Oreochromis niloticus: one gene and its partners. The protein of the gene in region 4 binds, or shares a complex with, the protein of the main gene of each other region. Links are inferred from orthologs where the notes say so. Each region holds a gene or a part of one and is shown on either strand. Other genes may lie near its edges.

Region 1 (7,372 bases), on a different chromosome or scaffold from region 4:
GTCAACAAAAAACATGTCGACATGACACGTTAAACCTAATTTGTCTTAACAAACTTGTCATTTATTGACCCTCCGATAATCTCAGAATAACCAGGTTATTCTGAGATTGTAAAGCTTGGTGATGTGGACCAGAAATCTCTCAACATATTTTAGGCTGAATACCAAAACAATACCCTCCATTCTCTCTGAAAGCAGAAGCTCAAATGTCACAAACACTTCAATTAACCTGCTGTAAGACATCTGTTAAGTTGTCACAAAAAACAAAAACAAAAAAGGGAGCAATTTTATCTCGGAAAACATGTTATTCATCTACTGCTGCCTCAACTGGTTAGTCTGTGCTATATCGTGACTTTGGTTTTTTCTTTGCTTTATGATTGCTTTTGTCATGCATGGGAACACCAGCACACCCAAAATATCTTTTTTTGGCTTGTTGTGCACTAATTACGACCAACTCTCGTGTCTCCAGCACAGCTTGCGTGTACTCGGGCTGGATATGCAAGTGTACAAGCAGATCTGCAAGTGTCAGATAACAGAGGGAGATGCTGAAACAGGAGGAAAAAGTGATACGTTCAGTAAAAAACAAAACAAAAGACACACAAAAAAAACAATCGCATTCATTTCCCTGCTATTACTTTTTCCCCTTTTTGATTTTTTGTTTTTCCCTGAACTGTGACATCTGTCATCGAGGAAAAGACTACAGTGAGTGCTGAGGATCGCAAAGTGTGAATACTTCTTCTGTCCAGAAGAATGCTCCTTCATTCAACCATGAGAAAATTTAATAGTCTACTGGAAGAGAAAATACTCCTTTTATACTGGCCTGCCCCCAAAATACCTTTAAATAACCCCCACTGTGTACACACTCACACACAAAGGGAGCAAAAAAACAAGACAAGAGCTACTGGAATCCAAGTTGCAAACTTATTCTAGCCATACTAGATCACTTTTTGTGATCTCTCTGTGAACAACGCAATTCAATGAGCTCTCGCAGGTACAGGCAGTAAAATAAGAAATAGACTCCCTGGTGTCTCTGATTGAAGCCACGGGGGTTTAGTCACTAGTAGGAACTTTGATGTATACAGAAATTTTGTGCAAACATGTTCTGTAACGTGGCTTGCCAAGAGCAGTCTACATGAACGGCTATGGACAATCAAAAAATGGAAGGAGATTTTAACAGCATGCTGACCCCACCGTCATTCCTTTATTTAATACCTGTGTCTGTTTTTGTTCTTCCTCTTCTTGTGGCTCCCGTGGTGGCTGCCTGAGGAGGAGGAGGAAGCAGCCTTCTGAGGCTTCAGGTCCTGCAGCGTCGAGTCCACATCCTCCGTGTCTTCCTGGCTGGGCTCGTTTTCTTGGTTCTGGAGATCTGGAGAGGCATCGCTTTCTGTGCCGCTGCCTGCCTCACCTGAAGAAATCAAAACAACAGCATAAATGACACAAATTACCACCAGTCCACAAAATACAAACTTTTAATGCTGCTTAGCTCAAAAGCAAAACTCACGCTTTTCATTCATGTGATCTGGTATACCACCGAGTGCACAAACGGCCTGTAAAAATGTCACAGATTGAACAGTTTAGTAAGTGCTTTTTGTTATTATGCAGCATATCTGTTTAAAATAATAAGCAAAAGACTTACTGCAACTGATGTAACAGATGACTTGCTGAATAAACGCTCAGCTTCTTTGAATTTCCTATTCCGTCTATCAGTCTTACTATTGGAGTTCCTGTTAAATTAAAACAAGCAAACAAAAATGTAAAAAAAAATTAAACAATGGTTTGGTCCAAAAGTGGTTCCAAACGCCCACACTGGGAATAAGAAAAAATTGCGTATTTTAAATTATTTTAAGTTTTTCCTTATGAAAAGAAAAGAAAGTTCTTCAGACCCCCCCCCACCCAACTTTAACTTAAAAAAAAGTTGGACGTCCTGCTTCAACATCAACTAGATGTAGTTTTTTTTTTTCTTAATAATTTTACTGGAACTTGATTTCAGCCATCGGCTGTACTCTTCTTCCTCCTGCTGGCTTGTACGTAACTAATACAAGTCAATGGCTGACTTTTCATTTAGTGTAAATGCATTTCCACCAAGCTGCTTACTTTTGGTTGGTGAGGTATCTGTCCCATCCTCTGATGATGTTGCCATACATCTGGGTGTCTTCTAGGTAGCTGCCTTCAAATGCATATATTTGTCTTTCCAAGTTCACCAATGTCTCCTGTGACAGTGAAGAACGTGAAGGAAAAGAATAAATGTTAGATATCTGAGTTTTAGTCATTGTATTAATCAACCTGGCTGGTAAACTTTTAACAGACATTTATTTATAGACACACAAATTAGGATAATAAAATATGTCCCTTTTGAAGTGTTAATTATTCACTTGCATTTGCAGGAAGAATTCAGTGAGCGCGCAAAAGTGAAGATAGCGATGTCTGTCGCAATGCTGATTTATTCCTCATGCCAGAGAGGCAACAATATCACAGGTATCTGGCTGGATGTACACAATACACATGTGACACCAACTTATCGCGAGAACTTGGCCAAGCAGGGCGGCTGCTAAAATTTGGCTACGCTAAGCTGTTAGAATATTTTGTCAAAAGCGCTGCTGTAAAGTCGGTATACGTAAAAACACTTAAAAGAAATATTAAGAGAGCTGCATGGAGTCTTGTTACTACTAACACTACTCTTAATCAAACGTTATCAGCCAAACAACGCTGTCGACCCGCTAACTAAGTGAGCCGCTACCGCTAGCTCCGGCTAACATTAGTTTAGCATGTAGCGGGGCCTCGGCTAGCAGCGCGCACGAGAAAATTTCACGCGGTAAAATACTAAATGCGACGTTTATTTTATAACGAAACCACCTTAACGTCTACTTACGGCGAGTTCTTGTTTCCTCTTTACGAGCTCAGCGAGCTCCCGGCGAGTGTCCGGGATCTGCGGCGGAGTCGCCTTCGCATGCATCGCCATGACGGATAGCCGCTTAAAGTGGACACTAAACAGGGGAGACTAGGTACAATAAAGAAGCCCGCCTCCATTTCACCGACAGGTGGCGCTGGAGTCTCGCGATAGATCTGTTTTCACATCACCATAGCAACTGCTTTAAAATTCCAAGGACCTCGAATAGCGTCAGATGGCTTCGACTGAGTCCAAAGTGGAAATAGTTATAAATTCTTAAGCTGAAAACGTGACATAATGGTTTCTTTTATCTTGTAGCTAGTAAAAGATGTTCAATACAAGCTAAGTACCAAATAGCGATGACAACACATCAGGAAAAGAAGGGCTTTTCCACCCAGGCTAATAGGTTTGCTTCTCAAATTAGTCTGGTAGGAAGTTTAACTCCATCAAAATTCAAAGCATTTTAAAAGAATAATAATAACAGTGCCGCATAAATAACGTGTGTGGTCTTTGTGTGTCAGAGTGAAAGTCCAGGACCGGGAACCTACGACTGCTTTACCAGCACTGAAGTCAACAGTCCTTCCTTCTCAAAGAGAGGCACCACCGGCTTTTTCCCATCCAAGGTCAGGAGGTCCACTATGTATCATCTTGAAACGCCTTTGGGCATTTATTCTTGTTGATTATTTGTACGAGTCAAATCAGTTTTGTTTTGTTAAATCATACTTTTTGCCCCAATAGGGCTTTAAAAAAATCCTTACTTACCCTGTAAGTTATTTTCCCCCCAGCATCATTGCTAGTGGATTTTGTCTGTGTGCCTTTTTATGTATTGCCTGATCCAGGATGATTTTCTCCTATGGGAGACAATAAAGTTATCTTATCATTGTTAGATTGGTGTACACACCCTGCCATTCATCCTATGTTAACAGACTTCAGCTTCACTACAACCCTAATTTGAATAATCTGGCAGGAGATGGCAACCTTTAATGTCAAAGTATCCTTTTCTGAGCAATTTGTGACCAAAAAAAAAGTATGGAGCCACAAAACATCCTTGAGCCTTATAATGAAGATGACACAGAACTTAAAGTCAGTGTTAGTTATGGCTCCAGTACTCAGTTTACCTGATTACTTTTAGTCTAATAAATTTTAATCCCCTGCTGCTTTTAAATGTCTTCATCACTTCATCCTCTCTTCCAGGTTGACAGAAGGCCACAGAGACCCACTCCAGGCCCAAATGCATACAACCTACAGAGTTCCTTCATAAATAAATATGACTTCAACACTGGAGCCTCCAGGGTCTTCAGGCTGCCCATAGCTGTGCAGATGGATGGTCCCAAACATATAACTCCAGCTCCAAATCAGTATGATGTATGTGTGCTGATTATAAAAGCTGATTCAGGGTGTAATCTCTGAGATCCTGTTGTGTATTTTGTGTCATTTTTTCTTTCTGTACAGGTCAGTTGTGTGAGGAGAGTAAGCATCTCCTCAGTGGTTGGTACAGCGCCTTTCCTCTCAAGAACAACACGGGATTCATTTTGCCCAAACAAAAATGTGCCATCACCAGGTCTGCTTTGAAGTTTTGTCTCTTTTAGCCTCTTATTAAATTTGCACTTAAATTTTTAATTAAAAAAAAACTTCTAAAAGGCCACTACGAGGTGAACAGCAGCTTAATCCAGCATGGTTCAAAGGCGGTCTCGTCACCCTTCAGATCAAAAACTCACAGAATCCTTCCTCCGGCCGACCACCGTGTGCCGGGCCCGGGGGCCTACAACCCCCATCAGGCACCCACCCCAGTGAAGAAGACCATCCTTCCGTAAGTAACCATACAATGTTTAGGTTTTGCTACTTTTTTTTTTTATTATCTAAAGTTTATATCGTTTTATGTGTGTTTGAAGGAGAAGATATTTTTTGGCAATAGCAGCACCTCCTCAGACTGTACCTAAGGATCCTCCTTTGCCGGGCCCTGGGCACTATGACATAGGGCAGTATGACCGGCCATCAAAGCAGTCCATACCCACTGCTGCTTTTGCATCCAGAACTCAAAGAATACCCCAAAAACCGATGGCTGATAAGATCCCAGGACCAGGTAATAAGATAAATGAGGCAGTTTTCTCACATGCATTTGATCTCTGATTTACTGGGCCTTAAATAACACTGGTGCACATGGCAATATAGATATCCAGCACAGTCAGATCAGGCATTGGCCGTTCTGTAGTCTGAAAGCTCCTCGGTACAGTTATTGTGATATTGGATTGAATCTGCTGTATTTAACACGTTAGCTATCTTTCCTAGACCACATGCATTTTTTTTTTTAATCCAGCAAAACGGGTGCCCATTGAAACTTTTCTGTGTACACGGAGTGGCTGTTGTGTGGCCAACCATTTCCTAACAATAGTGATCATTCGGATAGTCTAATTTTATATTAAAAAGCTTTTTTATTTTTTTGTTGCAACATTTCAGTCAATATTTTCATTATGCATGGATACAGCATCTGTCCCGGGTTCAGTTTTTGTCTTTAACCTCATTGCTTAGCTCAGAACATTGCTGTAGTCTTCATGTATTATTGCATCTATTAAAAACATATTTCTGTACAGACAGGAAAGAAGCTTGAATGAGAACTTTCTTTTTCATTTGTTTAGGTTACATTCTACTTTTTGATGCTTGGTTCTTAAAAATGCGAAAGTCTGGTGAGAATTAATTTGCCTATAGTTTGCCTCACTTGCTCTCTTCTCTTTCCCCTCACTCACAGATGGTTTTGGCAGATGGTTCCCCCTTCCTGAACCGGGATCTACCAGAGGTTTCTTCCTGTTAAAAGGAAGCTTTTCCTCTCCACTGTCACCAAATGCTTCCTCATAGGGGGCTTGTGTGATTTTTGGTCTTTCTTTCTAATACTGTAGGAATCTTGTGTCCACTGTTGTGATTTGGTGTTACATAATTAAAATGGAATTGACTGAATCTGTTTGAAACAAGGCGTCTTTAATAAACTGGTGGTTTACACATTTGCCTAACTAGCTTTGATCCCAGGAGGAGATACAAAAAAAGATCTGCCAAACCAAACATGTGGAGCAATCCCTTATGAATAAAGGAGCAGCCAAAGTAGTTGTTATTGCATTCATGAAAGCATTAAGTAAAACTTTCTCTCTCCTTCCAGGTTTATATAATCCACAGCCCTTGTCAAAGCAGTCCTTCTTTTACAACGACTCCAGAGTCTGGGTTCCTGTGTGAAGCTTCCAGCTCAGACTGCACTGTAGATACGTACATCTTCACTCAGATGAACTGTGATTGTTGCTATTCTTTGATCGGCACTTTTAGAGTGAATAAGATGAAAATTAAATGTTTGCACCAATTTAGTCTCTAGTTCCGTGTTTATGTTGGCCAATCAGACCTTGGAATGTTTGGATGTTTTCGGAAATGAATCATAATTAGTATTTATCCACTGTGGTGGTGGTGGTGGTCAAATGCCAGAATTCTTGAAAAGCCATATGTTTTGTCCTTGTGGATTTGATGCTCTAAAGTGATATAGAAGAAAGTGTTGGCACAGTCCCCAGCAGCTGCCGGTCCAGCCAATGGTACGCCACAGTAACAGCTGAGAGCTCGAGATGACACCACTCTGCCAACTGCCAGAGGGCAGGCGGAGGGGTGGAGTGACTGTGTATGTGAGCAATGTGACTGACTGGGCATGAGGCAGGGTGGTGTTTAACCCAAAAGACAAATGGACGCATCACTCAGTCCCTGTATCACATGTTGCATTGGAGCTGAGTCTTTCACAATGTTTTAAAAAAATCAAATATTATTATTATGTTATTAATGCACATATGATTGTAAATGTTCTTTTTGTAAGGCCTTGTGCAGCTGTGGACCCAGATTCTCTTTTTACTTCATTTTTTTTAAATTTTCCAAGTCAGAAAACACAACATAAAGTTACACACGCCATCTTTTAAATGTTTTCTGTGGTTATTGTGATAAATGTGCCACTATAAACCATTTTGTCCACATTAATCATGGAGCAGGTCCTGAGCAGGAACAGCAGCTTTGTGGTTCAGATAAGTCGAAAGCTGCTGTAATCAGTATTTTGATAATAAAGCTCTACCTAATAACTACCTGAAGCAATATGATGCTTTGAAAGAAGGTAATTGTATGACAGCAATAAAGAAGAATTATCTTAATACCTCATATGTCGAGGTGATTTAAAATCTGTCTGACTAACCATTAATGATCTTGATCTCTGTTTCCTCATATAAGTGTTTAACTGTTACTCTGTATGATTACACTCACTTTTTTGTTACAGTGTTTAAAAATACAGTGTTTGCATCTGTGTGTAAACCTGTTGGCTTACAGATTCTGGCTGCAGTCACTAAGCTAAGCAAAGTAAAGACTTTTAAAATACTCTGTGATTCAAATGCCATTAAAACTCTGACTTTAAATTAATGACTGTTCCCCTTGAAAAAAATATGTGTCGGGGAGTTAAATGTCCAGATATTTCACGATGCG
Region 2 (7,838 bases), on a different chromosome or scaffold from region 4:
AATGACTCCATATGCTTCCACTATACTATGCAGCATTCTCTTTGGACTGTGTCTGATCATGAAAAATGTGCAGTGCAGATATCAGAGCATCAGAAAAGGAAGGAAGAAGGAAGCAGGAGCAGCCCTGCCCTGCGACAAAACTAGTGGAGGGGCAGAGGGCGGTGGAGGGAGGTGACCAGCCCAGGAGACAGTTATGTAACAAATACTGCAGCTATGTTATGAAAAAAATGTATCTGATTATTTGCTGTTCAGTAAGTGGCTCTAATAAGTTTTGCCCTTTGACTCCGTCTGTGTTTAAAAGCCTATTTGAATCCTATTATTTGCACACTACCGTAATAAATTCGCATTAATGCATGACAACATTTTTCCTATTATTATTATTATTGTTACTTCTGTTGTTGTTATTCGTGGGTGGGCGGGGTTACTAGTGAGCTCATCCTCCCCGAGTTCTCCACAGGTGATTGGTGGCTTTCACCGTCCAATCACAATCCGCCTGTAAAGTGGTTTGGTGGTCACTTTGGATCGGGTTTTTTTTTTTTTTTGGGTCGAAGTAACCTAAGCTAACTAACCAAGTTTTTCGTCAGCGACAGGACATCTCCTCCTTTACCCTTGCTTTGGCTTCCAGTGACCTCTCTTTTTGCATTAACGGCACTTGCAGACATATAAAAAGAAACTGAATATCCTTCTGTTTTTTTTCCTCTGAGGCGTCCTAGAAGAGAGCTAACAAGCGTTAGCATTAGGCTAGCATGACAGCCAGAAGAACAACTGCCACCATCACCATCCTCCTCCTCCTCCACTGTGGGTTTGCTGGCATCGGGTAAGTTGCGAGTCAAGCTCAAGCTAGTTTTCCCCGTGTTGTATCCGTGGGAAGCGAAAGTTGTGGCTTTAAAGTCACTTGCGAGCTCAAATGAAACTGTTGGTGGGCTGTCCGCAAACTGTTAGCTGGCTGGTAAATGGCGCAGGGTCAGGGTAACTGGGCTAAGCTAGCGTTAAGCTAGCATCTATATCGCTGTTCTTTGTGCAAGCAGCTGTGTGGTCTTGAGAACTGAACGAATTAAAAAGCCCTCGAAAACTCATTTTTCCGGGGTCGAAGCGGTGCCCAATTGCTTGTCATTTGCTAAAACGATACCTTACAGTTTTTTTGCTGTCGTGTCCTGCTCTGTTTACCCCTCTGTTCCACCATATATGGCTTACTCTACTGTGTACTCTATTGCAGGAGCAAAACTTGCTCTGTGTGCTTCAAAACAGTCCAGAGCCAATGGATATGGGAAAATTCATCCGTACAAACGTTTACTTGGCAGCGTTAGTGTATACGTAGGTAGCAGATGTAGAAATTGTCGAGGTTTTCTCCAATGTAAACATGCACACAGAGTTAAAGTGTCCTATAGAGAAAATAATCTCACAGCAGATGCTGAGATGTCTTCTGGGCTTAGAAATGATATTTGTTTCCAGTAATAACTTCCAGTAATAATGATGTTTATAAGCACTTCTTTTTTTGACTCATTTTGTTTCACAGGCCTCCATTATGGTCTACAGATGTGAGCCTATGTCTCCCAAATGGATGATGATTATTGTGACCGAAATCTTCGCCTGGATCTTGTTTTCATCGCCACAAAAATTTTCACCCATTTCTTCAGGTTATTTGCATTTCTTCTTATTTTCAGTGATTTTGACGAAGACTGTAAGGGGAGGGTAGTTGGTTTCCATGGTTTTCTTCCACTTACCCAATTCAGGGTCGTAGTAGGGCTGGGGCCTATTCCAGTTGTCAATGGGCAAGAGGTGGGGTACAACTCTGGCCAGGGCTAACACAAAGAGACATAGATTCACATTTATGATGAATTTAGAATCACCGCTTAATCTAACATCGATTTCGCTAGTAGCAGGTCTGAGATTTATGGATTGAAGGCCTTGGTGAGGACTGGCAGTGGCCCCAGGTCAGACAGATCCTTGTGTACTAATGAGGGGTGTGAGAACTGGGAAAAGTGGGGAGGAGGGTGAGGCATAAAAATAAGAACAAACAAGCTGCAGTGCAGGAATGATCAAGGAAATCAAGGAAATGGAACAAGCCAATGTAGCTGTAGAGAGAAACCAGGCATGTACAGGGAAAACATGCAAACTTCACACAAAAAGGCCCTAGCAGGTCTGTGCATTCAACCCCATCCACTGTGCCTCCTCCTAATATCTGTATTAATCCTGTAGTTTTTAATGAAAACTGTAAGCTTCCCATTTTGTATTCCTCAATATTGTGCCTATTCATTATAGTATATGTAGGGACTCTGTGGTGTAGAGGTTTTACAGAGTTGGTTAACAGCCTTATCTTTAGCTTTATAAAGTGAAGAAATCGAAATCGCTCCAAACACCAGCCTCTCAGATGCTTCTGTCAATATCGGATTGGCAAAGCTCTGCTTTCCAGCATCCTGAGCAGATTTTATCTATTAGCTTAGTTTACTGATGGGTCAGTAAGGCAGCAAAGGATCAGGCTGGTTTGCTTTATGCAGAGCGGTGAATGCATCACGCACAGGATAGAAAAGAAAACACAGTATAGTTTGGAGCTTGTCTAAGTAAGAGTTCATATTCAGTTTCTGTATTGAGTCTTCGTGTATAATAGTACATGTTTGCATGCCGAGAAATCAGCTTGGAGCAGTAATATTAAAAGTAACAAGTGCTGTGTTCATAAAGCCAGAAATATCCTTATTCAGGCTGCCTACTTTCTAGATCAAATATAAAAATGGAAAACAAGAATTCATGCAGCTAATGGCTTAAAGGTCAAGAATGAAGAAGCTATTGCATTTAATTACTGTTCCATTAAATGAAACGGACCAGCAAATGTGCTGTGATAAACATTTGCTGAAATGAACAAATTTGGAAGTTGGTGGCTTCCCTGATTTCTTTTAGCTCGCTGACAATGATGCACCAATGAAAGTGAGAAATGTGTCATCTAACATTTGGTCAGATGTAAACTACATCTCAGAAGGACCAGTCAGGGTGGTAGGTTTACTTTTCTGCAGCATTTCCTGTACTGGCAACCAACAATGAGAAGATGAAGCTTTGCTGAGATGAAACTACAGTTAATCACAGCAAATTGACACTTAACAAATTAAAGCATTATATGCACCAGTGTACTTTTGTTTCTGTTGCCAAAAAAAGGCATGAAACATTGTTGTGGTTAAAACGGCATGTATGTACTCATTAGAAAGAGTTATTGCAGCACTCTAGGGTACTTCTTATTCTTCCTGGCCAGGCACCAAAAAGATGATGCACATTGTCAAATATGAAATACACAGTAAGGGTCACTTAGTAAAGTAATGCACTTGAAAAATGACTTAAATAAGGGCGCTTCCTGGATTCAGATGTTTTTCTATATTGGGATGTAATCACTTTGTTAGGTAGACCTTTTCATTAGTAGTAACTCAATGCATGTAGGTATGTAAACATGGCCAATGCAACCTACTGAAGTTCAAACTGAGCATCAGAATGGGGAAAGAAAGATGGTTTAAGTAGCTTTGAACCTGGGATTGTTGATGCCAGATGGCCTGGTCTGAGTATTTCAGAAACTGCTGATGTACTGGGATTTTTCCACACACAACCATCTCTAGGGTTTCAGAAAATGTTCACAAAAGAGAAAATATCCAGGGAGCAGCAGTGCGTTTTGTGACAATACCTTGTTGATGTCAGAGGTCTGAGGAGAATGGCCATACTGCTTTAAGCTAATGGGCAAGGTAAAAGTAACTCAAATACCCAGTGGTTACACAGAGCATCTGTGAATGAACAACACGGTGAACCTTAAAGCAGATGATCCACAGCTCAGAAGACTACACTGACTGTAACTCTTGTCAGCTAAGAACAAAAAACCGAGCCTGCAGTTTGCAAGTACTCACCATAATTGGAAAGTAGAAGTTTGGAAAAATGTTGCCAGGTTTGAGTCTTCATTTTCTGATGTGACATTTGGAAGGGTCACAAGTTGTTGTAAACTACATAAAAGTGTGGATCCATACTGCTTTTTATTAATGGATCAGGATGATGTTGTGTGGGATATTTTCTTTGGGCCCCTTAGTAGTAACTGAACTAACCTGGTACTGACCATATTTATCCCATTATGACCAGTGTGCCCAGGGTGCACTGCTCTTCATTTTTGTTTGTTTAAAGAGAACACTACATAAAATAACACAAATAAGGCCAGAATACATATTTGTTTATTGCTCAACCTAAACCAGTTTTGTTCCTGTTGTTCACCTTCTAGATCATTTTATATATATTCTGTAGTATTTGGGCGTAACGTTGCTACTGTGATGACGACACATCGGACTACTTCCTGGCTCTGACCATGTTAATACGTTTTGTGCATTCGCATGAACACAAGACAGTCCAGTTATAATTAAAACTGTAGTGTTTGCACCACAGGGTGGCGATATTTGCAAAACAATTCACTAATTGATACAGCATGTTCTGGTTGTTCATAATAATTTAAACACACGATACAAGTTTGAAGAATTGCGTCCTTGCTGTGCTAGAAAACACCCGTGAAACCTCAGAGTTACGGTGGTGTGTCAGTCGTTAATACGATCTGTCTATATGTGGCGGCATAATGAATGCGTTACGTCCTTTTTACGTTTTTTTTTTTTTAAAATATCTATATATACTTTTTTTTTTTTAAAAAGATGTAAAATATATATATTTTTATACGTCAGCATCAGCCTGTCGTATAACAGGATGAGAACATCCCGAGCCTAGTAAGTTCACATCCCATCATCAGCATCCAGCGTTTTTGCCCCCGCTGTCGATTCAGCCCCTCCTTCCTCCCTTTTCTCGTACCCCAAGGGTCTCGCGAGCGCGCACGCGTGCGAAACTGCGTGGGAATGGCTGTTTGTGTGATCGAGGGGGTTGGGCCGCTTGGAGCGAGCGGTGAGCTGCATGAGTTTGTAATGTCCGCCATGTTGGCAATGGCGTATTGAACCGGGGAGGAACAGCGGTGCCTACGAGAGAAAGAGACCGACAGAGAGCGATCGAGACCCGGGCCTGCCCGGCTCTGTTCGCGCTGCTACGGACCCAAGCCCGCCCTCAATCGACCGGCTGACTCTCAGAGACCGTCACAGATTCATCCATGAGAACTCGAGGCAGACCTGCTGTTATTCCTAGCAGATCGAATAGATTTATGCTGCATCTTTTATTATAAAAATGAGTAAATTGTCGTTTCGGGCACGGGCACTGGATGCTAGTAAGCCCCTGCCCGTCTTCCGCTGCGAGGATTTGCCGGACCTGCACGAATATGCCTCAATCAACCGGGCAGTACCGCAGATGCCAACGGGGATGGAAAAAGAGGAGGAATCGGTATGTTATTTTATTGCCGCCCGACTGGCGGTGGATCTTTGGCGGCATTTTCATAGCGCGAGGCGCCGCTATGTTGCCTGCGCAAGCTTGTGCAAAATGGCCGCCATATTTTCTCTTTCGTGCGCACGATGGAGCTCGATGAAAACTGAATTTTACTAAGCCGTTTCACCACGAGTGGTTGTATAAGGTTGCAATACTGTGATATTTTATTGGCAAGCCGTGTTGTGTCCGTTTATTTCCTTTTAAGCAGTACCTGAATGCACAAAGAAGTCACGTGACCTCTATCTGTGCCACCATTTTGTTGACTTTCTCGTTGGTAAAGGCGAGCGGGATAGGCCTTGGACGTGGTGTACTTTTCGTTAGCAAATGCCAGGGGGAGACACTGAGCCTTCAGCCCCGGTTGACAGCTAGGCGCCTCGTGTTGACAGCCACAGCCCTGCCATGTGTGCTGCCTGTTTCGCGGAGAATGCGGAGTTTAAAAAAATAAATCCCAGAGCTCTGCTTTCTGATTAATAACTGCACACCTCTTCACATATACGTGGTGCAATGGCTGTAAAATGTGTTACGACATGCATGGTGTAGCCATGACTGTGCTATTCCTGGGGAAGTTTCATTCATGTAGTGCAGCACGAGGATGTAGTCTTCATTTCTGGAGCCATATTCCAAGTATCTTATTGGTTAGAAGCGTCGATGGCAAGAATACGGTGACGATAGAAAAGTTCAGTTATGTTCCTGAAAATTGGGCTTAGCATAAATTACTCTTATGAAAGTGCCTTATTGCAACTACTTATTTATTACTTGAATTTCCTTCATAATTGCATGAGTTTGGCCCACCGAGATATGCCTGTACTGTGGTGTTAGTCTGATTTTTGTTTTTTAACACTGTAGTATATTGTTCTGCTTTTACTCACGTGTTTTGAGATAACACATATTCAAATTATATCCAAATAGACATTTTTGCATTTGAATGAAGACTGATTAGGCTATGTTTTGATCACAAAGCCTTTCATTTAGAGTTTATACCTGAAATGAAAGCTGTTTTTCTGATTGTAGACAAAGTTTAAGTTGCTCATGCATTACCTGCTCATCTGGTCGGCTCCACTGAATTTTTCTCATTCACTTTTGTACACCCCCTGAGATGCCTCAGCAGACACAAACATGATCCACAGATGGGATGTAAAGCAAGTTGAAATCCTGCTTTCATACCTTCCTCAACTTACTGTGCACATACACAGCAGAAATTACATAACAGTGTGACAGAAGAGATAAAGAGGACAGTTTTACTACAAGCCTGTGCGTGGCTTAGCTCCCTGACCCACATCCTGTCCAGCAACAGTGGGGTGTTGTTGCACTGACTAAATACCCAAATGTTGGCTGAGAATTATGTTGTTCTAACTTACCAGCAGGCACAGTTTGTGAGTGTTTGTTGCGTCACAATGCATATGCATGACTTTGTCTCTTTAATTCAGAATTTTAGCTTGCAAGTGTAACCAGAATCTAAAGCAGGTGGAAGTTTTTGTTGTTGCTGTTATAGTATAATCAAGGGATTAACTTCATCAGCAGTTAAACCTTCAAACCTCTGGTGAGCAATTAACTTCTGAAACAATCTGTTTTTGTAATGCAACAGGACATCTTTGCTTGCACCATGTCCTGCATAGTGTAAATAGTTTGTGTGTTCCAGTGGCCGTTACCTTTACACTCACACTGAATTGTTCCATAACGTCTGGGGAAGTTAAAAGGTAAATCTGTAAGCCACGTTTTTGACTACAAAATTAAAATGCTTTAGAGATGGACTTTGTCCCTGTGATGCCACAATTTATTATTCACAATACATCAGCCAGTAAATCCTCCTGTCTTTAATTATAATTTACAGAATTGCCTCAATCTTTTATTTAGTATGACGCTAAGTCAGCAGGAAATGGTTTACTGATGGAGGGGAAGGGAGTTGAGGCTAGTTTTTTCCATCTGTAACAGTAGACAGCCTTATTCACCTAGAGAAGTCGCCCCCTGCTGGCTGTGAGGTATCCACTTTTCAGTCCTGGAAGCTACATCTATCCTTCACACTGTTTACAGTCATGATTTCTCTTTGTGTGTATTTATTAACACACAAAGTATTGAACAGTTTGTTTAATCGACTAACTGTCTTTGAGTGATTTCTAAAATTTTCACTAATTTCTGGTAGTGTTACTAAAATGTGTGGCACAGTGAAATTGGATGCTACTGTGCAAACAGGAGAAACATGTAAAGCCAAACAAAACACAGCCACCAAAATGCTCCGTGTGGATCTCCTTCAGAAAAACCAAATGGACAAAAATTATGTCTGGTGCACACTACGTCCATAAAACTACCATATTACAGCTCGACTATAGGGTCATTTGACAAGTATTAGGTATGGGCATGTGTTAAGTTAACCTTTGTTAAATGTGAAATGTTAATACTTTTGAGGGGGCTGGCATTCGTGACCACTTTAGCTTTAAATTGAAAGGACTTCTCCCTCCCCCATACTAATC
Region 3 (6,887 bases), about 11 Mb from region 4:
CTTGGATGTTGCATGATCATCTTAGGAGTGAAATTTATGAGATATTAAATTTCAGAGTATGGGACAGTGGTTTGATTTCCTCATCCAAACATATCTGTCCCGCCACGTTTGAGGAGATGCAAATCCTCCGCTCTCCAGTGAGCATTTCTTTTAGAACATCTGGAGTCACGTGTGCGTCACTAGTGCGGCTTAAAGATGACACGATCAGGAGTGAAAAGAGGTGACTGTACGAGACGTCTTGGATGGAAGAAGGCAGGGATACTGAACAGAGAGCCAAATATGTCATTATGTAGCTAAAGAGGTTCACAGTCTCTTTGGGAAGCAGCTGGATTGGAGAGCGGATCACTAATCACTGATCTGCTTCGCTGTTCAGCACACGCACAGAGATGGCTGTCATTAATAGCAATAGTTCACATCGTGATGTTTACGAAACCTCCTGCAGTTTATAAGGTTTATGTTCTTCTTACCGGTTCTATTATGTGCAATAACCACACAAAGGCAACTCTGTGAGACCAATTACATGAAATGTGATGCTGAAATCAGAGCTTTTTTTGTCGTTGTTGTACTTTCGTTGCTTGTGTTCAGTGACAAAAGCTAATGTAGGGAAATGGATTGTCAGAGTGATTTAACCTGAAGGACCAAAGCGGGATCATAAAATTTATTCTAATATCAGGATAATTATAGAAAAATGCATGGAATGAAAAAAAGGTGTTTAAACTCAATTTTCCTACAAAAACAGATGAGATGTGTTTTAAGTTTCTCTAAACTGGAAGCAGAAACTTAACTGCAACTCCAACGACAACCAACGGACAGTCATCAAGTCATTGAACAGTCTGGGGGAGTTTGGGGCTTAGATGTTAAGCCCCGCGGTACCAAAGACGAAAACAAGTCTCCCTTCTTCTCCCCCAGAATGTACATGCAGTGTCCAATGTTCCCGTTAATTTTCTAACCAAAATAAGTCCTCTGCGGACACATTAACGAAGTCTGTGGTACACTCAGTTTGTCTGGTAGCATCCCTGATTAGCTGATTATAAATGAGGTATGGGAAGATGTGAGATATGTGTAAGCGTTATGAAGTAGCTATGGAAGTGAATTTGCAGGATGCAAGGTCACTTGAGCGCATGTTGACGTCACACTGTTTGCTCTTTATCACTTTGTTAAATCATTTCACAGCTTCATCCGTTTGCTCATAAGAAGCCACCAGGCTTATTGTGCACTCGCATGGTAAAGAGTAATATGCAGGCTATCCCTACAGAAAGCTTGGACTGTCTGATTAAAAATGTGTGATGGGATTAGAGGTAGTTGTTTTATCTGATTTATGGCTTAGAGTTTAATTTCTGATTTTAAAAAAATGCAAGTTCTGTATACTGAACGCTGTTCCGAGGATTATAATAAAGATCATTTATAACCTTTACCCTTTCTTTGTGAGATGATTTGATCGGACACTGATCGCTGATACTTTTTCCATAACCATATTTATACACTGATGAGTAGCAAACACTTAATTATTTGTGATTCTTTCCAGTGCTCAGGAGTACACTCATCATGAGCATTTTCACAATACTCTCTTAGCTTTAAATTTACATTAGAGGCATTTAGGTAACCCAGTAGTAGCTTGGCTGCTGTTTCGTGCCATGTATTGATACGAAAACCTCTTGAAACAGCTTTTTCAAATACACTCTAGCTGGGGCTACTAGCCCTGGTAAGAATGGCAGGTGTGCTTTAAAACATAAATCATAAAGCTGAGGGGCGTGTAGGACACATCAGGAAGAACCAGAAAATGATTTCCACATTTTATTGCACATTTTATAGCTCCGAAGCTCCCCAGTCCTGTTGACTCGGAGGGCAGTAATTGCAGACGGGCACAATGTAGCAGGATGAGAGGGACTGAAGTGTTTCCACAGATGTACATAATGGGTTTATCCAGAGTGGTGAAGCAGTTCAGTCATAAATTACATTCCTCATCTCAGCAGAAGGTGACAAAAGAAAAGCAGCTTCAACGTAAACGCTCTTTTTCCACATTCACTGGGAAAATATTTAGTTGGGGCTGAATAGGAAGCTAGATTTCAGACTTAATCGACTCTCATTTTTTTTAAAATAGGGAAAAAATACATGAATAAGCATGAAGAGAGAAGATATTCCTTCATTTTCTTTTGCTTATCCAGTTCAGAGTTGTAGCGGGGCTGGATCCTGTCCCAGCTTTGACCGGGTGAGAGGGAGGTTACACCGAAAACATAAAGTTCTTTGAGAGTGTTGCACAGCCTTAGAACGGACTTTAATAACTTGAAGATGATAAGGCTCTGCGTTAGCACCTTGAGACAAATCAGCGCACTCGCTGGCCAACAAGGCAGCACTATAGCTAGTAAAGGAGCTGCCTGCCTGCTACTTTGCTCACCTAAAATCCAGCAAACCGAACAAGCAAGGCAAGTTAGACTTCACGACTGTACTCACAATAATGGGGTCATTGAAGGTAAATGCTAGTGTGAAATTCTAATGTGTTTCACTGTTTGATAAACTGGTCAGAGATGAAACTCATTAGGTAGGCTTGGCGATCCCAGCAGGCCCGATATCCCATGACCTCTTACCTGCAATGATATATAAATAAAACACATAAAAGTGGTAGAGGCACAGCATTAATATTCTTCAACTCCCACTGAAGCTTTATTTAATGAACTACACGGCCTTGAAAGATAAAGACGGAGAATGATAACACAGCTCTCTGCTGTTAGAGCTCTGTAAAGTGCAGCTGGTGTTTCAATGCTTGGAGGGCTCTCTGAGTCTTCCCTATCACCACACAGTGAAGATGATGTTCAAAAACACCTCATGATAAACTCTTACACAGCTACCTGCAGATCTGTAGGCCCTGATTAAGGATACAGTCATTTGTAGCATTTAATGAAATGCAGATGTGGCTCTAGAAGTTCATTAGAAAAGAATGGTGGAGGTTGCATTAGCTTCACTGGACTGTGCCTTACCAGGCAGTAAGTGCAAAGATGTGCCTCAGGTTGCTAATGTGGACCTCCACAAAGCTGACCACATAACTGAGCATGCCACGCAAGGTTACTTTATGATGAGAGACCGTAGTTTTCAGTAGATGGTAAAACTTCTAATTACAGGGACGAGATCTTAGTAATCAAAAAAGGGGTCACTTCTTTTTTGACAAAGTAATGCTATATAAACAAATCATACTTGGTTAACAAGAATTTCACTCACATGTGCTGTACCAGTGTACCAGAACATGTGATGTGACAATAAAAGTGATTTGATTTGATTTAATGAATTCAAAACAGTACAAACAGCAGTTGAATAAAATAAATAAAAATAATAATAAAAATTAAATAATCAAGGAAGCTGAACACGTTATTGTTTTCAGTTCAGTTTAGTTTAAGTTAGATTCCACAGTTTGCATACTACTGTTTTAATTAGTACCTGCATGATTATTTAAGATCAGTACAATGTTCTGATACAGACATGTGGCTTCCAGTCATAATGATACTCCAGTATCAGTAGACATACTGGTTCATGCCAGTTTTGTTGACAAAATGTAATCAAATTGACAAAAACTAACTATTAAAAAATTGTGGTTTTTTTGGTTAGCTTTTTGGTAGATGCTATGATTCTTATAGTAGTTTTCTTTTTCCACTAATAAAGAAATAAATAGCTGTCCATTAGTCCAAATTATAGGTTATCATCTCAAAACTTTGACTCACAAACTTCTGAGAAAATAACTCAGAAATGAGGGGGAGAAAACTTCCCAACTGTTTTCAGTTACTTTACAAAAAATAAAGGTTTTTTTTTTTTTAATTCATTTTACCTTTAGTTTTTCACACTTTTATGCCAAGGGAATCGACACAGAAACATAAGCAAAATCCCCCCCGCTTAGCTTCCGGGTTGGTTTTCCGCGGCTCCTTCTGGAAGTTTCATCTTGCCGTATATTTCATCTTTGTTGTAGACCGGCATTTTCCCACAACACCCCGCTCCTGCTCGCACAGATGACGAAAATGGCGGACAACTCATCGTCGGTAGGCTTAAGAAAGATATAATGTTAATATAGGCACATTGACCGGTTTCAGAGTATAAATTAACGTGTTGTTATTTACAGGTCGAGATTGTGGAGGGCTGTCGCCTCCCGGTTCTTCGTAAAAACCAAGAACACGAAGACGAATGGCGTAAGTATTGTCCGTTTTTCTTTCAATGCTAAGCTAATGCTAAGGAGCTCAGCTCAGCTGTTGTTACCAGAAGCCACGGCCTCCAGTTAAAGCGCTGTAAACACCATGGCCACAGATGGTGCATGCAGCTGTAAAGTGTGAATGAATTAAATTTGAAGACTTAAGAAAGCTGCTGCCACTCTCTCGGAAATTAAATTGCCAACTCTTAAATTTGACTTAGTTTCACGTTTTGTAGAAAAAAAAAAAGTACTAAATGCAGGTGGCATCAGTGATGTTTACAAATTTGAGAGCGAATTTATCAGGTTATCTCTCTTACTCTCTTGGCACTCAGTTTGGTCCATAGTAATCTAACACTCCTTTTTAACACATTTAGGCAAAAATAAAGAAAGAAATTAACGAAATTAAAGCACAGGTGGTATTTAAACCAAATTTAATTGGGCATCGCACTTAGACTTTATAATCCTGATACCTCAGCATAAATAATTACATTTTAGGACATTTAAAATCTCCCATTAAAGTAGATTTTATGCACCTTTGGTTTATTTTTAGCATTGAAATCTAAACAGTAACTTTTATCACATATCACATGCCTGTGTATTTAATGTTAAGTGTGTTAAAGCTCCAGTGTTTCATAGAAAAGCATCACAACGATTGTCTTCATTTGAGTACAGTTCAGATAAAATGTGACATCTCTGCTTTGTACAGCACTGGCTGAAATCCTGAGTGTGAAGGAAGTTTCTGGGAGAAAGCTCTACTATGTTCACTACATTGACTGTGAGTATATTTTGTGTCAGTCGTCTTGGTTTTTCTCAAGATTTGATTCACAGCCCCAGTTTAGTAAACATACATCAAAGCTAATTACACCTTTTAAGGTTTGTTTATTAAGTTGTTATCTAAAATTGCAAAGCAGATTTTTATTTATCTAGTAGTTCATTGATTTTTTTTTTTTGTCATATTTGGATCAATTCAAAATTATAGCTTTGTACCACATAGCTTTTGATTTATTTATTTTTTCACCCACCGTTTCCTGTCATGCTATAAGCTAAATAACTTCACACATCAAATCACCACTCTCTCTCTTTGTCTGTGTATTTAAGTCAACAAACGTCTGGATGAGTGGGTCACAACAGAAAGGCTGGACATGAAGAAGCTTCAGTTCCCCAAGAAAGATGCTAAAACACCAACCAAGAATGGTCTTTCAGGTTCCCGTCCTAGTTCTCCGGAGGGAGGGAGAGAGAGAGAGAGAGAGAGAGAGAGAGAGAGAGAGAGAAGTGGTAAGGAGTCCACGTGTGATTTAAAGCAATGTAATTATGATTCTCACAGTGTTAAGAAATGACGTCAGTCTTAATTTCTGTGTTGTGTGGTTTTTATTCATTTTATAGAAAAACCTGCATGATGGTAAATTTCATATTTGTTGCTGTTCACTTCCATTGATGCATGGTATAAGCGCTGCTTTCCATGGTCACTTTAATAAGCTGCAGTGTGCTTTATGCTGCTTGAGCAGTGATTTGTAACAGTCTACCCACAGGAAATGCAGCCATAATAACAATAAAAATATAGATAAATAAAAGGGCATCATGTTATAGAGGACCCTGTTTTTAACAAAATATCAATATCCTCTTTTTTCAGTCTTACATTTCTGTGTTAATACTTCTTTGTGTCTAATTTTAAATCAAACACATGCCACTGAAATGGTGAAACGCTCTTTTTATGACTAAACCTTTAGTTCGATTTTGTGTGAATTGAATTCCTCAGAATTAACCTGAGGGTTAACATGAATTATGCCAGTGTTAACCCGCTTCCTTCTCTTCCTTTCCGTTCAATTCAGAGGAAGAGTCTAGATCTCAACGTACAAACTGCCACAGCTCCTTCCAGAGGCAAAACCCTCCCCACTCCGGTACAAGTAGAATTCACCCACTCCACAAATTACTGAGATCTTTTTAAACCTGGTGTCAATGTGATTCTTGTGTGATGGCCCCACTGTTAATGTTGCCCTGCATGGGAATATAAAGCTATGCAGAGCTATAAGGTAAAGTAAGTCACATCTGAAAGACGTTTAATATAGAGTGTATCCAAATGAAGATTTATAATAGGAAGTGAAGCCCATCTGTTGCCATCACATTTAATACCAGGTTTAATGGGGTGTATTTACATTGGTTAACCTGCAAATTATCTGAGATTTGGAGAAATAAATTGATTTGCTGTGGCTATTAAAGATGCACAGTCTTAGTTCTGTCTGCATACAAACTGCTGAAAAAGCATCTTGATATCAAGATGTCACTCTTCATTGAATACAAATGGAGTCCCCTGCTTTTAATCAAGCCTCTGATCAAGTTGACATGAAAAAAAAAATCCCATCAAATTCGCCTTTGTTTGGTTTGTTTGTATTCGATCTTAAAGCTGAATGTCTAACACTGTTTGTTTGCTGCAGAAGAGGAAAGTAGAGCCTGCCCCTGTGGCTCCTCAGGTACCCCCGGTCACCCCTGTGCCCTCCCTCCCAAGTTCAGCTGAAGCCACTCAGGCAGCTGTTTTTCCTGCCGTGAGAGAGACGCCCACCTTTAAGTCCCGTGAAGACCATGAGCTCACAACGGTAAAGAAAATCCTCTTAAATTCTCTCTCTGTGTTTTTTTTTTTTTTTTTCTTTTCTCCTATTTGCTAATGAATATCTTTTAATGTCCTACTCACAGCAGAATGGCAACGCCCGACGACTCATCCCTG
Region 4 (7,281 bases):
TCCTGTAACAAGATCACCTACTGAACTTACCCAGCTTGCACCTTCTCTTTACTCAAACTGTCAATCATCTTGTTGCCCAAGTCATAGATCGTCTCCATCTCTGTAGTCTTTAGCGTCAACTTGCCCACCTTTGCACCCTGATCCAAGGCACAAAATTCTCAGTAAGTTATATGAAGTACAGTGTTTTATATCTACAACAGTGTTTACATGTTCATTTAACTACATGTGAAATCTATACTGTCTGTGACACTCGGGTTGGGCGACTGGATGAAAATATCGATTATTGACAACAGGCTGAGCCCATCGGCCCATCGGCGATCGTTTTCACACGGGTGATTTATTTATTTATTTGCCCGCCCATGAGTAAGTTTGCTAAGAATGATGGAGCTAATAGAAGCAGTCAACAGAAAAAAGATAACGGCACCCTCTTTCATCTGCGAGCAAACGCCCCCTCCTCAGAGTGCGCCCAGATGCTTGATGATGTAGCTGCAGAAGCTGCTGATAGCCTAGCATACTCAGCTGGACGGTGGACACGTACATGCTCATGCAAGTTAGCCGTGTTTGAGTACTTTGCTCGCACTATACGTCTGCACAAGCGCACACCGCTTTGGTTACATCCTCAGGTTTGCTGCTTTCATCTGGCTTAAAAATCCCAAATTGGCAACTTTATATTTTTTTAGTGCTGTCAGCGTTAATGCGCCATCGTCACGACTAACGCGATTAACAAGTAACCCATCAGTGCGCAGACTGAGTCAAAATCCCTGAAATGTCTCTGTCAACACATTTTGAGCAGTTTGTCCAAAGTTCGTTCATTCTGCGCTCCCGATGGGTTCAGCGTGTTAAAATTTTTAATCGCGTTAATCGTGATGACCGCGTTAACGCCACAGCCCTAATTTTTGGGAAATTAGTTCGTCCATGTTTGGACTTCTTCTGTGTTGTAAACGTGCAAATCAGTCCGTGCATGATTACATTGCTCCGCCCATCAAAAAGTCTGCGCATGCACGAATATGTCGCCCATCGTCGATTATTGGACTGACGATTGTCGGTTGGAAAATTTTTACATATCGCCCAACCCTAGTGTGACCAATAAAATACTTTCCAAAGAACCACATAAAAAGACTGGGTTAACTATATTATGAGTGTAAGCTGCTTACTGTTCCTGTGGCTGGTCTGTCAATCTGGATCTCGACCACCTCTCCTTCAATGATCTCCGTCTCCTCTCTGTTAAAAAACAAAAACAGTTAATAGCAGTTCTTTTCGTATAAGAAGATTTACCAAACCCTATTACAGCATTTGCTCACTCACTTGATCCTTACTCCGATGGCTTTTCTAAAAGCTTGGCTAAGTGCCTCAGTCTTGCTCATCTCCAGGGAGAAGATCTCACTACCAGCCAGTGCTGTAAAGGGTGTATCAGGGCCAAGAGACTGGGCGATGCCTGCATTGGAAAACCCCCCAAAATCAAAAACAAAGTCTCAGCCAAACCTACACTCTGCCAATCAAGCTAGGAGCAACAAAAATGTACCCTAAGCCAATTCCATCAATCCAAGAAACCAATATCTTCTAACTGGGGCTGATATTATGTTCTGGAAAGCTTCCAGTGGAGCTCTTACCCATAGCAATTGCAGTCTTTCCTGTGCCAGGCTGGCCAGCAATCAGTACTGCCCTGCCAGCAATGTGGCCATCTTTGATCATCTCCAAGATGACTCCTGCAGCTCGACGGGAGGCCAGCTGGCCAACCATCCCCTGAGACACCTGGAATTGAACATAGACATGTAAAAGGCACATCTCCTCTACACAGACACAGAATATTTAAGTCACAAATCTATTACATGCCCCTTAAGAAAGAGAGGAAAAGGGAATTAAAGCTACCTGTCTTGGCTCCAAAGCATCATCCAAACCAAGGCCACGAATGTGAGAATGTGCACCTAAACACAAGGTGAAAACAGATAAAATAATGTGAGTCACAGGAAGTGAAAAAACTCTCAAGAATCAGGTACCATGTGCACCTATCACAGCACTATCACACAGTAACCAATCATGTGTTTCCGGGTCTCAGTCCTACCAATTCTCTCGATTCGTGTGATGTCACGAACCTCTGGAACCTTTGTAGTTGCCATCTGTATTAAAAGCAGAGAAATCATTCATTAGTCACTATAAAGTGATCCTGCCCGCTTTCCTACCACTACTTTTAAATTTAAAAACATGCATTATTAGACAGAGTATTCAGAGTATCCCACTCTATGTCAGAATGTCAAACAATAGATAAATAAAAAAAATATTCGATCCAGCAAGAGGTTCAAATATTTCTACTGACGTTTTAACGACATACAACCCAGTCACCATTAAATAAATGTTAAAAAACAAAACACTTTGGTGATAAGACTACCACAACATTAGATTGTCAAACAATTAACACTTTAAAGAGCCCGTCCTGGTCAGGTGGTTGTCATAGTGACAGAGTTGAGCGCATGCCACAACAGAGTAAGAACAGTGTTAGCATTACGTTAGCCTAGTTTCTAAGGCTTTTTATTCTTCGTATTTTCACTTTTTCATATAAGCAACGGAAAGCTCGGGTATCGCCATTACACAGATTTAATAACGTGGTACACCAAAGCCACAAATCTAGTTTGGCGCCAAGTAAACAGAGCAAGGACAGTGACAAGTAATGCTAACACCAGCTAATGTTATGTTAGCAAATTAGCTAGCTCCATTCAAAGCTTTCTTCTTTGAGTAACTCCTGCTTAGCAAGACGAAGACGCGATGTTCAACAGAACACGAAAGGATGATCTTACAGGACACATCCTGTAACACCACAGTGTGAAAGCCTGGAGTTAGCACTGTTTATATTGATCGCATGAACACTCACCTGTGCAGCCACACTTACGAAAATGTGAGAATGCGGCGCTTCTTTCTGATTGTGCGCAGATTAAAAGCGTCCGTACAGAAACCGCTTCTTTTATTTCTTTTTCCTGCTAGGGGATGTTTGGGTTGACTGCCCTCTATGGGCTCGATGGTAAAATGACAGCACGAGCTTGTGACTTACAGGGAGTGGCAGGAAACCTTACCGGTGTCTTGATGCATTCTCAATCATCCAGGAAAGTAAATCTCCAAAAGTTGAATCTGTTCATCTGGACGTAGCGTTTGGTGGGAGAAAAGTTTCGTCACTCATCCAAGTGACTTCTTCAGTCTCAGCTGACTGCAGGTTTCCCCAAACCTTATAAACAGTACATTTGCATAATGACTGAACCCAGCCCACTAAAGGAACAATGGGCTGTGAGGTCAGTTCCTTAATCATAATTGTGCAAATTCCCATGACCATTGATCAACAATCACTGGCCATCTTACAATGCTGTGATTGCAGCCATTCCCCAACTCTCTGTGAATGGTACTCATGGCCATTGATCAGTGTTCTTTGATCAGTGGGTTCTGGTCAGTGATTGTTGATCAATGGTCATGGGAATTTGCACAATTATGATTAAGGAACTGACCTCACAGCCCATTGTTCCTTCAGTGGGCTGGTTTCAGTCATTATGCAAATGTACTGTTGATAAGGTTTGGGGAAACCTGCAGTCAGCTGAGACTGAAGAAGTCACTTGGATGAGTGACGAAACGTTTCTCCCACCAAACGCTACGTCCAGATGAACAGATTCAACTTTTGGAGATTTACCGGTGTCCTGGATTATATTTTGGACATTTTAATCCGTGAAGCCCGTTTCAGTCCAGAGTGGTTAAACTGTGTGCTAGGCTCCCTTTAACTCCCTTTTCACATTTTACCTTTTCTTCTCGCAACAAAATAGCCCGTCCGTGGAAATCTTTAATATTTACTGGTATAATGTAGAATGTAGAAATGTCAATGTCATACTGTACGTAAGCTGGACCAGCCAAGGAAGCATTTTGCACTGTTTTAGTTACTGTTTGCACACGTTAACAGCGGAAGCTTTCACTTCAGTCACCAGCCACGATAAAAAAAAAAAACCTGCTCAAACTTGGTACTGCAGACGTTTGTCCACCAGAGGTGGCAAGACCCCCGAGTTGTATTAAAGGTTTAAGAATTTCAAATTTGAAGCCAAAGTTTTTGCAGAGTGGTATTGATGACCGCAGCAAGCCGGATAAACGTTTGCTACCACCAACCTCAACTTTCTACAGGCTCCGCTTCATTCATCTTATTGTGCATAAAAGCCTCTCTCATTTTTTAAACTGAGAAATATTATAATCCAAACTATGGAGATGAGTTTGAGATTTTTATTGTCATCTTTGTCTCAAGCTGAGCTTCATATTTGCAAAAAGTAATTTTAAAAGCTTAAAAAATCAAGACTGCAGTATTATTGAACAATGGGAAAGCTTGCCTGCTGATTATAATCTTAAGGTTTCTGGAGGGGTTTTCATATCCTCTCCACTAGACCGCTCAAGCTTCACCTCAAGGCCCAGGCTTAAGATTCCACAAACTGAAGTCGCTTTATTTAAACATCACAGCAGAGCGACTGCTGCATGGTAAAAGGGCAAACCTCGGATTGGATGCAGTTTTATCATCTACGCTGATCAAGTAGAACTCAAGTAGTAAATTTTGCAGCTCCTGAGTCGCTACACTAACTCAGAACTTTTTAATGAAGAACTTGACGATACATTAGGACTCAGTCATACTTCCATTCAGCATAACGAGCCTTAAGCGTCACAGAAACCTCTCAGTTACACCTCGCCTGTTCCTGTAGAGTTCCCTGCTGACCTCTCAGCTGCTTTCCAAAACACTGTGCTTTAAGCACACACAAACACACCATCTCCTACTAGTCCACACGCAAAGCTGGGTCTATTTTACATTTGCTTATGAAATAATTGCACTCTGAGTGATGTTGCTAATGGCAGGAAATGTCTGACTTTTAAAGATCTTACAGATCTGGCTTAGAGCTGATTAGCTTGAAGAGTGAGTTAGGAAGCTCGTCATCATAGAAGAAATGAGAGAAAAAAAATCCACATCACAGCTCATGCTTGTTACCAAAAGTTTATTTGATAAAAAAAAGCATAATATCACAAATGGTCATCACATTGTACAAGGTTCATTATTTTGAATTATAGTGTAAATATGCATATACTATATTATTTCTGAATTAGTAAATGCTCATTGACTTTCTACAACTAATTTTACACTGAACACATGTTGATTTGCTGAATATTTGCTCATCAAGCATCGTTTCCCCCATCAGCACATATTGGATAGCAAACAAAACAACGATCTAATATTAGAAAAAAAAGGGGGGGGGGAACAAAAGCATATTTTCTCACAACAGTACTCGTCATCCACACCCACTGATCTTTGGATATGTGTTACTTAATCACAGCTGGATAATGGTAATGGCTGACTCATACCAAACCCAGAAGCCTGGATAGACAGGTTCACTAAAGGAGGCCTTAAAGCGGTGGATTAGAGACATGGTTTCCCCAACAGTGTAGAATGAGAGAGTACCCCCGGCGTGATCCAGGAAAACGCCGATGCGGGAGGAGTAGGGCGCGTTGACCTCTTGCTGGTCCTTGTTGTGGCGGGCTGAGTAACTGGAATCAGAGCAGAAAAGGCTCCATGACTTGCGGTTGTAGCCGATGCGGCAGCTGTCACCGTAGCCCGTTCTCTTGATGCCTTTGTAGGCGATGCCGATGGAAGCCCCCTCCCCACTCCAGTCTACCTCCCAGTAGTAGGTGCCTCCAGAGAGGGGCTCCTTACACAAGACCTGGGGCAGGGAGTCGAACCTGGCAGGGCTGTCAGGGTAGGACTGGGGGTCTCTCTTGAGGGCAGCTTTTCTGTTCCCTCGTGACAAGTAAAGCTGTCTGTAGGCTGTGTTTTGGTCAAGGGTGAGCTGGCAAGCATCTAAAGATGGGTGGAAGATAAGTTCATTATTTACTCAACAAGAGGAAGTGCTTAACTTAAATCACTCTGGGATAAATGTAAAAGAGGAAAGCAAAGAAAGCCAAAGCATCTGTCCTACAGCAGCTGAAGCACCCCACTCCAATGCAGCAGCAGAACGTCATCAACATCTCAGTTAAACTTCTACTCACTGCGGTAGAAGTTTAATTAGCTTCTGCAAAACACGCTTTGAAGAAAAAGCAAGAGACCCTCTGGCTGGACACAGAAATCAGAATAGTCACCTGACTGCTGTGTATCTCCACCTCTGCAGGTCACAGTTGGTGAGACACCCGATGCCCTCGGCTAGATCTGCCCGGCCTATGATCTGGAATGCCAGAGGTATCAAACACTGTTTGTGAGTTTGACCACAAACAGAATTCCAGCTAGCAAAGACCTTTTTTAGCTGTGAGGCGAGTCAGTGACTGTGCAGTTTTTCCCCTGCTGAGATTTTGAGCCCCCAACGATTTCTGTTGAAAGCTGGATTAACCTCCTGAGACTCTGTGTCCTCATATGGGGACATTACATTTAGACTTACACTTCATCTTACTCAATAAATGTTTAATACTCTGTTAATAATGACCATAAAACTATATTGTGTTATGCTGGAAAACAAACCCACTGTCTCTCTATTGAGGACATACTTTTTAATATATTTATATATTAAAAAAAACCCTTTCTATTCAAAAGCGATGCTTCTTTTTTTTAAACTAATCAGCTTCAAGAAAATTTGGAGAAATTAAAAATGCATCCCAAACGAGAGCTCGGGTTGCAGGAGGTTAAAATGCAGCTTAAGTAAAAATGACATAGCTGTGCAATATTTGCAGTGAATCAGTCCCAACCTCTGTCAACACTGTAGGACAAACAGCAGCTTCTAAGAGCAGATTTAGTGGTCAGCCACAGGGTCTGACAGAGAACCCATCTAATTTGCGTCATGCAGTGAACTGAGCAGCGAGAACAGTGAACTGTGTGGATCAGAGGAGACTCACATCTCAGGAAGTCCTCCCTGTACTGAGGCTCCTTGACTGGCATAGACTTGTACATGGGAGCTTCGTCACCTGTGAGAGGAAACACACAGAAAATCAGACAGAGCTGTGTGTCAGCAGTTTTTTAATGTGCTGCAGCTGAACAGCTAATATGTGTGCAGGAGGTAATGTTCCTGTTCACACTATCAGTGATCAGGCAAACACTTCTGTTTTAGAGGTGAGTGTAACCTGTTAGGTTGACATTTGTGATCAAGGTAAACATTTCAGCGTGAGGCAGCGAGTGAGCTCAGGGGCAATCTAACAGGAGAATGGAAAGAAATGAGGAAACGGGGCCAGATGATGAAAAACCTGAGCATTATGACTCAACATCATTTCTCAGTACCACATCTTCTGGCTTTAGGGACTGAC

The links.
Region 1: ruvbl2 (region 4) and meaf6 share a complex: the UniProt entries of both Homo sapiens proteins name them as parts of the nuA4 histone acetyltransferase complex. The link is inferred for Oreochromis niloticus from reciprocal best matches to the Homo sapiens genes RUVBL2 and MEAF6.
Region 2: ruvbl2 (region 4) and enhancer of polycomb homolog 1 share a complex: the UniProt entries of both Homo sapiens proteins name them as parts of the nuA4-related complex. The link is inferred for Oreochromis niloticus from reciprocal best matches to the Homo sapiens genes RUVBL2 and EPC1.
Region 3: ruvbl2 (region 4) and histone acetyltransferase KAT5 share a complex: the UniProt entries of both Homo sapiens proteins name them as parts of the SWR1-like complex. The link is inferred for Oreochromis niloticus from reciprocal best matches to the Homo sapiens genes RUVBL2 and KAT5.

The regions. Positions count from the first base shown.
Region 1 is NC_031985.2:13,858,234-13,865,605, reverse strand, and holds the start of meaf6 (chromatin modification-related protein MEAF6), read right to left. Parts: upstream 3,007-7,372; 5' UTR 2,957-3,006; coding exon 2,867-2,956; exon of another isoform or gene 2,866-2,866; intron 2,208-2,865; coding exon 2,092-2,207; intron 1,722-2,091; coding exon 1,634-1,721; intron 1,545-1,633; coding exon 1,499-1,544; intron 1,403-1,498; coding exon 1,210-1,402; intron 1-1,209. Other genes in the region: stpg1 (O(6)-methylguanine-induced apoptosis 2), read left to right, coding at 3,244-3,312, 3,406-3,507, 4,079-4,249, 4,337-4,445, 4,526-4,694, 4,777-4,967, 5,631-5,737.
Region 2 is NC_031974.2:10,910,512-10,918,349, forward strand, and holds the start of enhancer of polycomb homolog 1, read left to right. Parts: upstream 1-4,838; 5' UTR 4,839-5,175; coding exon 5,176-5,328; intron 5,329-7,838. UniProt on the Homo sapiens protein: Component of the NuA4 histone acetyltransferase (HAT) complex, a multiprotein complex involved in transcriptional activation of select genes principally by acetylation of nucleosomal histones H4 and H2A.
Region 3 is NC_031975.2:11,844,829-11,851,715, forward strand, and holds the start of histone acetyltransferase KAT5, read left to right. Parts: upstream 1-3,883; 5' UTR 3,884-3,992; coding exon 3,993-4,022; intron 4,023-4,102; coding exon 4,103-4,169; intron 4,170-4,874; coding exon 4,875-4,943; intron 4,944-5,266; coding exon 5,267-5,405; coding exon of another isoform or gene 5,406-5,443; intron 5,444-5,993; coding exon 5,994-6,066; coding exon of another isoform or gene 6,067-6,072; intron 6,073-6,600; coding exon 6,601-6,759; intron 6,760-6,856; coding exon of another isoform or gene 6,857-6,859; coding exon 6,860-6,887. UniProt on the Homo sapiens protein: Catalytic subunit of the NuA4 histone acetyltransferase complex, a multiprotein complex involved in transcriptional activation of select genes principally by acetylation of nucleosomal histones H2A and H4.
Region 4 is NC_031975.2:1,309,779-1,317,059, forward strand, and holds the start of ruvbl2 (ruvB-like 2), read right to left. Parts: upstream 3,007-7,281; 5' UTR 2,867-3,006; intron 2,423-2,866; exon of another isoform or gene 2,315-2,422; intron 2,118-2,314; coding exon 2,063-2,117; intron 1,926-2,062; coding exon 1,870-1,925; intron 1,753-1,869; coding exon 1,611-1,752; intron 1,436-1,610; coding exon 1,306-1,435; intron 1,222-1,305; coding exon 1,155-1,221; intron 138-1,154; coding exon 31-137; intron 1-30. Other genes in the region: ftr83 (finTRIM family, member 83), read right to left, coding at 5,328-5,854, 6,877-6,945. UniProt on the Homo sapiens protein: Possesses single-stranded DNA-stimulated ATPase and ATP-dependent DNA helicase (5' to 3') activity; hexamerization is thought to be critical for ATP hydrolysis and adjacent subunits in the ring-like structure contribute to the ATPase activity.